3 linked regions of the Arabidopsis thaliana genome follow. The protein of the gene in region 1 interacts with the protein of each later gene in a pairwise test. Each region holds a gene or a part of one and is shown on either strand. Other genes may lie near its edges. The genes, in order: NF-YA6, TT2 and AT5G09240.

Region 1 (4,836 bases):
CATACACAAAAAAAAAAAAAAAACATCAAAAGTCTAATGGTGATTGGAATTGGAATTGTGATGTAGTACCCACAGCAGCAAATGATACCTGGTCAGCAGCAGCAGCAAATGATACCTGGTCAGCAGCATCCTAGGCCAGTTTATTACATGCATCCTCCTCCTTACCCGCAGGTTATTATTTTTGCTAATAGTAGATTCCCTCTTTTTGTTCTTTTTTTATTTTTCTTTTACATAGTCGAAGAGTTAAAACTTTTGGATGCTGAAATCTCATCTCTGTATGTGTGTGTTTTGCAGGACATGCCATATCATAATAAAGGACGAGAGTAATAACTACTACTACCCGATGGTGATGATGTTTTTTTTTTTTGTGAAGGAAGTGTACGAACCCCTCTCTGGTTTTATCCACTCTCCCTTACCCAATCACTGAAACCATTTTCTTCTCTTTTTTAGATTCGCCTACTGATTTTGGTATTTCGTGTTGAAAACAAAAAGAAAGAAAAAAAGAAAGAAAAAAAACGATCTATCTGAAGTCTGTAGTACTGAGTGCACTCTCTCCTTTTTTTTGGCTGTATCAGAGATATAAAATTTAGAGTGTAGGTTGCTCTCATGCGTCTTTTACTTCGTCGTCTGCATATTTTTTTGTGTGTGTTGTGCTAAATTTCTGGGTGATTTTGTTATCTAAAATCCAAAAAGGATGCGGTTTAGATGAAAAGAATAGAAGAGTAACAACGATTTCAAAGCAGGCAGAACTAGTCATTTTTGGTGTTGTTGTAGGGCATGCTTTTTTCAATAAGTCGTTAAACGTTACTATAAGTAGTTGTCTCGCGATTATTATCATGATGATCGATATGACTCGGTGTATATGATTTGGTGGGCAACACATTCATGTTTTAAGATTCCACAAGAAAAAAATAAAATGGAATCAAACCTAGTTTTACCAGTCGCATATATTATTAGGTTAGGTGACTGCATTGAGTTGTTTATTTTTTACTTTTTTACGAGTCTCTCTCAACATTTATTGTTTTTGCTTTAAAGTGGAGATTTTAACCGTGGCTTGAGCTTGACACTTACGAATGATGTTGGGTCACCAATCTTCATCTAGAATTTACCTTATAATCACTTAGTTCAATTGCGAATCATGTTTTCGATGTATTTTCAACAACTTTTCACGAAACCAACTAACATATTTTACGGTCATCCGCTATGATAGAAAAACCGATGAATTTGCTAAGTTTGTTTCTTTCTTTTCAGTATGGATACCGAAATGAGACAAGAAAACAACGAATATTCAACTACAATACCTTACTTGTAATTGTAATGCTCTTTAAGAATCTATCAAAACTCATCGTTATGCAATTACTGATTTATTTCATGCGAGAAAAACCAAAAGTCCGGTCAAACAAAAAGGCAAGTGTGTCCTTATGTTGTGACGACGTGGTTTCATCATCCAAACACCGGACGTGAATATCACGCGCGCGTGGATTTCGGAACAGCGATGTGGCGGCTGTGAATACAAAGATATCAAGCAAGGTACACAGAATGTGTGTCTCTGTTTGTTTCTTTAATGGGACATTTTCACTTCATCAGAATCTGATCTCACCGTAAGCCTTTATACATAGTTGTACCCACTTTTTCTGTTTTAATCTTAAAGTTTACTATTTTTTCTAGTTGATAAAATGGAGTACTCATTATTTGTTACTAGTAGTAATTAATAAGGACAGAAAAAAAAAAAGGAAGAAGACAAGAGTGGTTCACAATCATAATGTAAACAACGAATAATAATAATTAATGTCCAGGTAAAAAGGTAGTGTTCATGGTGAATTAGTGGTGGCAAAAAAGTTGGTACTACTGGGAGAAAAAAAAAAAAAGGTTAGGTGAAGCTTTTTAGCCATAGCCAATAATACTACTCAATTTTGCAGAGACAGTGAAATGCTGAAATTGATAAAGAGAGAAAAAAAGAAGAAGAAAGAAGCCATGTTTTGAGGAAGGAGACATGCATCATCTCATCCTTTTATGATTTTTTTCTACATCTTCACCAAATCCATAGATTCTCTCTCCCTCTGATTTTTTGGTAAATTTGGTCGCTATATTTGACTACTTGTACTCTGCTTTGAGAAGAAAAATAAAACCATTTTTGGGTGATAGGTGAGAAAAAAATCTAAATACTTTTTTTGTTTCTTCTTTTTTAGTTATGTTCTGTTTTCTCGCTTGTTGTTTGGATCAATACTGTTCCAAGGTTGGTTTTATTTTCCCTTCTCAAGTTAGTGGAATTGCATGTTTGTGCTTTCTCTGTTTTTTTTATATCTAATTTGTAATCAAATCCGTTAATTCTCAAAGTCTGAATCTTTACTTTCTATTTTAGTATGGTAATAATTGGATCTGCTCTATGGTTTCTTTCTCTTAGATCTGTTGTTTGTTGCTTTTTCTTTGTGGATCAAGAATGGTTTTTGATTCCTTCCAAGTGAATAATGCAATATCAATATATCATGACTGGTTTTTTTACTTGATTGGAATTACAGGTGACTGAATAAACATCTCTTGTCTCTTGATGGATCTACTATGGTCTGGAGATTAGTTCGTTTATTGAACTAATGTTTTAGACAATGCAAGAGTTCCATAGTAGCAAAGATTCATTGCCTTGTCCTGCAACTTCTTGGGATAACTCTGTCTTCACCAACTCAAATGTCCAAGGATCATCATCCTTGACCGATAACAACACTTTAAGCTTGACAATGGAGATGAAACAAACTGGTTTTCAAATGCAGCACTATGATTCCTCCTCTACTCAATCCACTGGAGGAGAATCATATAGTGAAGTTGCTAGCTTAAGTGAACCTACTAATCGTTATGGCCACAACATTGTTGTCACTCATCTCTCAGGTCCACCACTTTTTAACCTTTTTCGCCTGAGTAAGAGTTCACATTGCTGCGTCAACTGCATTTAATTTTAGCTTATCTATGGTTTCTTGTTTTGGTGCAGGTTACAAAGAAAACCCGGAAAATCCTATTGGAAGTCATTCGATATCAAAGGTGTCTCAAGATTCAGTGGTTCTTCCTATTGAGGTTAATTATTAGACTATCATCTTTGACCTTATTATAAACCTTGTAGTAGTTCAAGATGAGACTGAGTTTAAAGCTGAATACTATCTTAATGATGTCTATATATGCTCACAGGCGGCTTCTTGGCCTTTACACGGCAATGTAACGCCACATTTCAATGGTTTCTTGTCTTTTCCTTATGCATCACAACACACGGTAATACACAATTGTAACATTTCAAGATAATACTGTTTCTTGTATCTTTATGAAAGTATTTGTTATGGAAATCTTTGCAGGTGCAGCATCCTCAAATCAGAGGGTTGGTTCCGTCTAGAATGCCTTTGCCTCACAACATTCCAGAGAACGAACCAATTTTCGTCAATGCAAAACAGTACCAAGCCATTCTCCGCCGCAGAGAGCGCCGTGCAAAGCTTGAAGCTCAGAACAAGCTCATCAAAGTCCGCAAAGTATGTTTGTTTATCTATATTGCACCACTCTGATAAATAGAATTATATGCAGAAAGTTTCAGTTATTATGTCAAGAGTCTTGACTCAAGACCAATTTTTTGTATGAAACTATGCAGCCATATCTTCACGAGTCGCGGCACCTCCATGCACTAAAGAGAGTTAGAGGCTCTGGTGGACGTTTCCTCAACACAAAGAAGCATCAAGAATCAAATTCCTCACTATCTCCTCCATTCTTGATTCCACCTCATGTCTTCAAGAACTCTCCAGGAAAGTTCCGGCAAATGGACATTTCAAGGGGTGGGGTTGTGTCTAGTGTCTCGACAACATCTTGCTCGGACATAACCGGGAACAACAACGACATGTTCCAGCAAAACCCACAATTCAGGTTCTCAGGTTATCCATCAAACCACCATGTCTCAGTCCTCATGTGAGAGAGCTCCGGCAAGTGGTGGATGAGATAATGAAGGGAAGTCATCCTTGGCTAATTTAAATCATTGATCCATTAAGTTTCTATCTTATAAATCTGCTTTCGTTCTACAAAAGAAGAAGAAATCTTTCAACTATTTTTTTTTTCCGTTGGCTGTTTATTTTATTTTATGTGATTGTTGCTGAATATTGTTTAATACTTGATTTAAGTTTATTAGTTTCGATTAAGTGCATCTGCATGGATTTGTGATTTATGTATAATTATTTGCTTTTAGAGCTCACGTTTGTTGCCTTTTATAGTCCATTTTCAAAAGAGATAAGATATTAGTCCCAGACTATACAACATAATCATATCTACTAGTAATCATATAAACCATAATTAGTAACAAGACCGATCACATGGTAATCACTTTTGGCTTTAGTCAAATATTGTGTGACATCTCATAATTCAAACGAAGTTGACCAACGCAAATAATCATGTTGGAACAAAATCATCTCATATATTATGTCTTCACGTTATCATTTCTCAATTTCTACAAACACCAAGTCTTTACGATTACATTCATTCACCTACCATTGATTGGACTTGGACATCTGTCTAAATCTCTGCTATCCTTCAGATTTTAGCACAAGATCCCATAGAGAAAAAGGATCTTCATATTTTTGATATTGGTGTGTCTCACGGCATGCAATGGCCCACTTTGCTGGAGGCTCAAAGCAATACCACAAGGACCTCCTCCTCGTGTTCGAATAACTGTCTTATCCGATCTCACCGAAGACATACCTTTCTCTGTTGGTCCACCAGCGTACATTTATGGTACTCAATTCATTGGTTGTGCTCAGTCCCTCAACATAAACCTCCAAATCAGTGTGCTTGACAAGTTCCAACTCATTCATACCTCTC
Region 2 (3,720 bases), on another chromosome or scaffold:
ATCGCAACATGGAATCATTAATATCTAACAATTTCGAACATTTTCAATGTTCATAACGCAAAACAATGTCAAAGTAAATTCAAACTACACGAAGTAAATGTATTGTATGACCACATATACAAAGTATAGGACGTCATGTGGTTAACACCATAGACATACAATTCCGATAAACCGGTCAGTTGACTCCGGCGTTGACTAGGGTTGACCGGCGTTGACCAACAAAAAAATTCAAAAAAATCTTTTAAATTATTTTAAATATTCAAAAATACAAAATATTTTTTTTTTGGTTTTGTATATTCAAAAACATATTCTATATTTCAATGCATTAAATCTTAGAAAAATTAGTTTTACAAAAAAAATCAAAATTTAACTAAAAATAGATTAAAAATCATTATTAAATTTTAAATTTTAAATGAAAACAGGAAAATATTATTATAGTTAATTAAGTAAGGAAATTGCTTATTTTTATAGTGTCAATTAAAACACTTCAATTATTTCTATACAATATTTTTTATAAAAAAAAATCAACCACAAAAATTATTAGAATAAAACGTAATACAAATGAATTTTATTTTAAAAACTTTTTTGCTGAAATCAACATTGTTAGATTTTCTATCTTTTTATATATTAAAAAGAAAAATTGCAAGTTTTTGGTTGTTTATGTGTTACTACGAGAACTTTTCTTAATAATATTTGTTACAAAAGGAACTACATAGTATACAAAAATAAATTTAGACTAAAGAGTATATAAAAAATATTATAATTTTCTTTACCATGCAAACTTTAGATTAAAGAGTCATATACTCAATTTCATATTGCTTCCTAATACAATTGAGTATATGACTCTTTAATCTAAAGTTTAATAATGATTTTTATTCTAGTTTTAGTTTAGTTTTGAAATTAAAAATAAAACTAATTATTATAAGATTTAATGCATTGAAAATACAAATATATTTTTACGAAATATAGAATATGTTTTTGAATATATAAAAGAAAAAAAATATTTTCGTATTTTTGAGTATTAAAAATAATTTTAAATTTTTTTGTTGGTCAACGCCGGTCAACACTAGTCAAAGCCTGAGTCAACTGACCGGTTTACCGGAATTGTATGTCAATGGTGTTAACCACATGACGTCCTATACTTCATATATGTGGTCATGTAATACATCTACTTCGTGTCTACTTCGTGTAGCTGGATATACAATGTATAGTAGGTATGTGTGACCATGTATTCTCTTATACTTTGTTTACCTAGCAATCTTTTTTTTAAATTAAAATAAATATGCGGTTTAGATATGAAACTACCCAACAAATTTAACATTTTAAACGTTCATAACGTAAAACGACGTCGTTATAGACACATATTTTCCATGTGTCTGCTGACTTATCATCTTCACGGAGTTGACTAACACCCGTTACTTTGACTCTGAATTTTGTACTTTTTCTTAAGTTGAGGTATGAAATTCAAATAAATATGCGGTTAATATATGAAAATACCCAACAAATTTTTTTGGATACGAAAATACACTCAGAAAATAGTACGGGTATGAAAATACCCTTTTCCCGTATTTGATACATGTCTAATTCGGTTCAAATAAACCGAATATGAAAATTTTCAGTTTTATTTCGGAAGTTAAATAAATCTAGATAACCGACCTGAAAAACCCGAGTCCCGACCGAACCGAACCGAAATTAAATTCGGTTTAATTCGGAAGCATTTCCAAAAACCGAAATTCCCTAAAACCGAATAACCCGACCCGATTAAACCGATTTGCCGAACTCCCAGGCCTAAATTCACACTTGGCTTAGAAAAACTCTTTGTAGATGTTAAAATTCGGTAAAATTAACCTCACCAAAGCTAATTATTACCAGGTGAAGAAAGCATTAAAATTTCAAAGTGTGTATGACAGAGGTTTTAGAAAGCGACTGATGTACGGACATATCAACAACTCCCCTATAAAGATACTCAGCTAAACACAAAAACAGAATCTATTCTCAACACAACACTAAAGACAATTGTACCAACCACACAACCACAAGAGAGAGAAAAGTGAGAATGGGAAAGAGAGCAACTACTAGTGTGAGGAGAGAAGAGTTAAACAGAGGAGCTTGGACTGATCATGAAGACAAGATCCTTAGAGATTACATCACCACTCACGGCGAAGGCAAATGGAGCACTCTCCCTAACCAAGCTGGTACTAATCTCTCTATCTACCGATCCGTCTTTATATCTTCTACGTACAATAATTGTCTTGGCACACATAAAAGGTCTCAAGAGGTGTGGCAAAAGCTGTAGACTTCGGTGGAAGAACTACCTAAGACCGGGGATAAAGCGCGGTAACATCTCATCTGATGAAGAAGAACTCATAATCCGTCTCCATAATCTTCTTGGAAACAGGTTTTTCACTAACCACATAGAATTTTCTTTTTGTAGTAAAGTTATTTGTTATGTGACATTATAATTAAAGCAGATGGTCGTTGATAGCTGGGAGGCTTCCAGGCCGAACAGACAATGAAATAAAGAATCATTGGAACTCAAACCTCCGCAAAAGACTTCCCAAAACTCAAACCAAGCAACCAAAACGTATAAAACATTCGACGAACAACGAGAATAATGTATGTGTTATACGTACAAAGGCGATTAGGTGCTCAAAGACTCTTCTCTTCTCGGATCTCTCTCTTCAGAAGAAGAGTAGTACTAGTCCACTACCTCTGAAAGAACAAGAGATGGATCAAGGTGGATCTTCGTTGATGGGAGATCTCGAATTCGATTTCGATAGGATCCATTCGGAGTTTCACTTCCCGGATTTGATGGATTTTGATGGTTTGGACTGTGGAAACGTTACATCTCTTGTTTCATCTAACGAGATTTTGGGAGAGTTGGTTCCTGCTCAAGGTAATCTCGATCTCAATAGACCTTTCACTTCTTGTCATCATCGTGGCGACGATGAAGATTGGCTCCGAGACTTCACTTGTTGAGCCTATATTGCAAAAACCTACGTTAATACATATTTCTCTATACGGACAAAAGTATATCTGTATTTGTCTGAACGCTTCTAATTACTAACTTACTAAGGAGACCAAGAAATACAAATAATTATACGATCCACATGTTATAGAAATGGGTTTTGTCTTTAACTAATAATTTTTTATTATTGCAAATACGTACGACATAAATATTTTTGATAGATTTTGTAAATTTATGTATGAGCAAATGATAGAGCTTTTATTATAACCTAACCACCGCTTAACCACCCAACCTATAAATTCTACTTGTGAATTATTGGTAATACGAATCAACTTTACAATTTTGTTATTACGAAATATTACTAGAATATACATGTATAGTCTATTTATAGGCAGGCATAGTCATTAATGTAAGGAATTTGTTCTTCTCATTTTTGGAATCATCGTATAAATAAATACTAGATGCATGGTTGTTCTAAGTCATGTGCCAGTACATATTTGAAAAACAAAACAAAGGAATATTCCGGATTTTCCCCCTATCTCCTGTATTTTATGGGTACAATTTAGAAGTTTATGTATTTTAAGGATACTAAAAAATCATGTATTTTATTGGACATCAAAAAGTGTTTGTATTTTAAAGGAAACTAGATTCTGACCCGCACATACGTGCGGGGTTTCATATTTTAAGAAATGTATTAGAATACATTTTTAGTGAAAGATATTGTAGTGTATAAATTATAATGTGCATAGAAA
Region 3 (3,723 bases), on another chromosome or scaffold:
ACCTTTCCCAAGCAAAAAAGCTCCCGCGTTTTCTCAAATTCGCGTTTATAAAAAAGCGTTCCGAATCAAAACAACTGTCACAGTTCTAATTTTATCACACGCTCTGCAACAGCGCGTGGTCGGTGAACACATTAACATAAATACGCGAGAAGAGACGCGCCGATTCATTTTTCTTCAGAATCTCTCAATTCTCTTTTGTCGATTTCGCAGTAGAAGAGTCCTTTCGCCGTCTCCGAGAAACTCGTTGCAGCGTCACGACCAGGTTTCCTTCTCACTTTTACTAAATTTTGTAATTGCTCGGTTTTTTGTTTAGTGCGAGTTTACTCTGGTCTGAAGAGAACATTTTGGGTCTGCTTATTTACAGTTGGAGAAAATGTCTTCTAGAGGAAAAAGGAAAGACGAAGATGTCAGAGCATCAGATGACGAATCTGAAACCCACGCGCCGGCTAAGAAAGTCGCAAAGCCAGCAGACGATTCCGACCAGTCTGACGATATCGTCGTCTGCAACGTTAGTCTACACTTTCTGTCTATCTTTCAATTTCGTTATCTACTCTATTAGCAGTGAGCTTATGGGTTTCGGTCAAGTTTTAATTTTGTTGATGTGTTTTGCTCAAAATTAGGGTTTTAATCAAATTAGGGTTCATGTTGGTTATACATCAGATATCTAAGAATAGGAGAGTCTCTGTAAGGAATTGGAACGGGAAGATTTGGATTGACATTCGTGAGTTCTATGTCAAGGACGGAAAGACTTTGCCTGGCAAGAAAGGTAACTTTATTTTGTAATTTAAACCAATGCCCCTTGGCTCTCATAATTCATTATTTCTAGTAATGTGTTTCCTCATCTCTTAGTTTTATATTTCGTTACTGTTTTGCTTTGTTAAGTTTCTGCATTTAGTCAGGTTTATAGAATTGCATATCTTAGGGTTTTATAATAGGCAATTCTGCTTATTGAGACTGTTTATGGACTTGTAAGTATGAGCGGAGATGGTGCAGAGTGTTTGCTTTTGTACAACAACGTTTTGTTTATTTTGGTGCTATTGCTCCTTCATGTCTTTCTCTAGAGACAGCTATATTAGTTTATCTCTACATAACTAATCATGTTGACAAGATTATCTCTATGTTTGTTATACGTTGCAGGTATCTCTCTAAGCGTGGATCAGGTACTCACATCTCTTTCTATCTCTCTCCACTGTTTTATGTCTCCTAGAAGTGTTTCTGTTTTCTTGTTATTTGCTTATTACACAGCTTTTCCTTAATGCAGTGGAACACTCTTCGGAACCACGCAGAGGATATCGAGAAGGCCCTCTCTGACCTTTCTTAGGTTTTAAAACTTGTATCATTGGTTGTACGTCTATTAGAATATGGCTCAGTTGTTTTGGTTGTTTTTGTAGAACAACACCATGTTCTGCTAGTGTAAGCTGCTTCAAATTAGTTGGTGTATGGAATCTTTCACTTTTGGTTCAGACAAGCTTTGGTTGGTATTAAGAATATAATGATTGCTCTTTTATTTACTGCTGTAGTGCTGTTTTATTTGCAAATTAAGATACGTTGCAGGAATACAAGTATTCATTTGATAAGTTATAAACAAGATAGGTCTAAATGTTACATAGCTCTTGCCAAACTTCACTTGATCCGGACAAGGCCATAAGCAGACATTGTCTTTGAAGATGAACCCATCACAATAAATGTATCACTCTGTGTTGCTACTTTCATTGCTATAGTTGCTCTTTTCCAAAGAATATTTACCTTCCCAAAAAACTCCCCCGTTTTAAGTTTGGCCGCGCGTGTTCTCAAACTGTGCGCTTGTAAAATGGCGTTCCGAATCTGATATCACAGTTGTAATTCGGTGAACGCAGTAGATATATTACGCGAGAAAAGGAGAGAGGTGCTTTTTATTTAACTTGAGAATCTCAAGAGTCAATTTTTGCAGTAGAAGAGTGTTTTTTTTAGAGGTTAAGAAAATGTCTGAGAACGGAAAAAGGAAAGACGAGGATGTCAGAGCATCAGACGACCGCGACGAATCTGAGACCCACGCGCCGCCTAAGAAAGTGGCAAAGCCAGCGGACGAGATTGAGGACATCTTCATCTGCAATGTTAGTCTCTCTACTATTCATCTCTTTTTTGTCTGTAGCAGTTCGTATGAGTTTTAGGGTTTGGATCAAGTTGTGATATTTGTTTATGATGTTATGTTTTGTTTACATTCCAGTTAGATAAGAATCGGAGAGTCTTTGTGAGGAATTGCAATGGGAGGATTTGGATTGCCATTCGTCAGTTCTTTGTCAAGGACGGTATAACTTTACCTTGTAATAGCAAGCAAGGTAAATTTTTGTTTTTAACTACATATCTTCTTTTGACTGTCTCTCTTCTTCTCACAATTCCACATTTGCTAATACTCTGTATCCTCCTCTCTTTTCTTTTTTATGGTCAACAATGTATCCTCATCCCTTTGTTTTCATGTTTTGTTTCGTTAAGGTTCTGCATTTAGTTAGCAGATCTTAGGGACTTTTATTATATATCTAGTACTTCTGCGGTTTGGGACTGAGAGGAGGAGATGCGCAGAGTGTTTTCTTTTCATCAACAACGTCTTGGTTTTTGTCTCCTAGGGCCAGCTATATTAGTTTGCTTTCTTTGCATAATCATGTTGACAAGATTTTCGATGTCTCCTATATGTTGCAGGTATCTCTCTAAGCCTGGAACAGGTATTCACATCTCTCTTCCATTGTTTATGTCTTCCACACGTGCATATGTCCTGCTTATTACACGAGACCTTTTTCTTAATGCAGTGGAACGATCTTCGGAACCATGAGGAGGATATCGATAAGGCCCTCTCTGAGCTTTCTGAGGTTTAAAAGCTTGTGTAATCGGGTATTGGAAGGTGGCTTTGGTTGTTTTGGTTTGTTTTTCAGAACAACACCATGTTCTGCAAGTGTTAGCTGCTTCGAGTTAGTTCATGTGTTGAATCTATTATTTGATGTTGATTACTCTTTTATTTGATGTTGGATTTACAACTTGAGATACGTTGCAGGAATACAAGCATTCATTTTGATTAGTTATAAATAATATATATAGGTGATCTAAATGATAACATAGCTCTTGCCAAAGTTTACTTAAATGATCCGGACATTGTGCTAGAGAGCTGGGACACTGAGCGATCCCACGTCAAGAACTCTGTGCAATATCTGCAGCAAACCAATCACGAAATGACAAATTATTAAGGCTGACAATCATGAAATAATATGGATATTTAAGGCATTTTCAAGGCTGAAGGAAAGGGAAGAGCTTTATGCTATGCTCATACCTCACCAACCCTAGCATTGATTTTCAATGGAACAATGTCATCAGCTCTTGTTTCGCCTATATTTACAATTGCGGTCATAGCACCAGCCTCATGAGCCGCTCTGCAAAAGGTATATAGAAAGCTTCTTAGTAAGATGCAAACTCAAAACTGGATGATTATTCTCCTGCATCACCTGCAAAGGCGAAAAGCAGACATTGTCATTAAGGATGAACCCAACACGAGGAATGCATCGCTCTGTTTTGCAACTTCCATTGCTTGAGTAGCTCTTTCCTTCGGGATGTTGTCTCCAAAGAAAATTACCTTCAATTCAACGAGAACATAATAAGAAACAGAGCTAAACTGATTCGTCTCTATCTGATTAAGTCAATCTTACATCAGGCTTTAGGACTCCTTTGCACTTCTCACATACTGGTATATGAAAACCC

The links.
Region 2: the proteins of NF-YA6 (region 1) and TT2 interact in a two-hybrid assay, tested with the Arabidopsis thaliana proteins (one large-scale study listed by BioGRID).
Region 3: the proteins of NF-YA6 (region 1) and AT5G09240 interact in a two-hybrid assay, tested with the Arabidopsis thaliana proteins (one large-scale study listed by BioGRID).

What each region holds. Positions count from the first base shown.
Region 1 is NC_003074.8:4,640,365-4,645,200, forward strand, and holds NF-YA6 (nuclear factor Y, subunit A6), read left to right. Parts: upstream 1-1,565; 5' UTR 1,566-2,145; exon of another isoform or gene 2,146-2,150; intron 2,151-2,292; exon of another isoform or gene 2,293-2,519; 5' UTR 2,520-2,603; coding exon 2,604-2,880; intron 2,881-2,980; coding exon 2,981-3,063; intron 3,064-3,174; coding exon 3,175-3,255; intron 3,256-3,335; coding exon 3,336-3,506; intron 3,507-3,622; coding exon 3,623-3,937; 3' UTR 3,938-4,207; downstream 4,208-4,836. Other genes in the region: CID4 (CTC-interacting domain 4), read left to right, coding at 67-171, 295-327.
Region 2 is NC_003076.8:13,724,751-13,728,470, forward strand, and holds TT2 (Duplicated homeodomain-like superfamily protein), read left to right. Parts: upstream 1-1,992; 5' UTR 1,993-2,056; coding exon of another isoform or gene 2,057-2,120; coding exon 2,121-2,398; intron 2,399-2,471; coding exon 2,472-2,979; 3' UTR 2,980-3,211; downstream 3,212-3,720. UniProt on the Arabidopsis thaliana protein: Transcription activator, when associated with BHLH2/EGL3/MYC146, BHLH12/MYC1, or BHLH42/TT8. Involved in the control of flavonoid late metabolism in developing siliques.
Region 3 is NC_003076.8:2,873,019-2,876,741, reverse strand, and holds AT5G09240 (ssDNA-binding transcriptional regulator), read left to right. Parts: upstream 1-1,892; 5' UTR 1,893-1,961; coding exon 1,962-2,093; intron 2,094-2,206; coding exon 2,207-2,318; intron 2,319-2,603; coding exon of another isoform or gene 2,604-2,676; coding exon 2,677-2,849; 3' UTR 2,850-3,082; downstream 3,083-3,723. Other genes in the region: KIWI (ssDNA-binding transcriptional regulator), read left to right, coding at 374-508, 661-766, 1,138-1,256; SRT2 (sirtuin 2), read right to left, coding at 3,129-3,179, 3,299-3,398, 3,471-3,598, 3,672-3,723.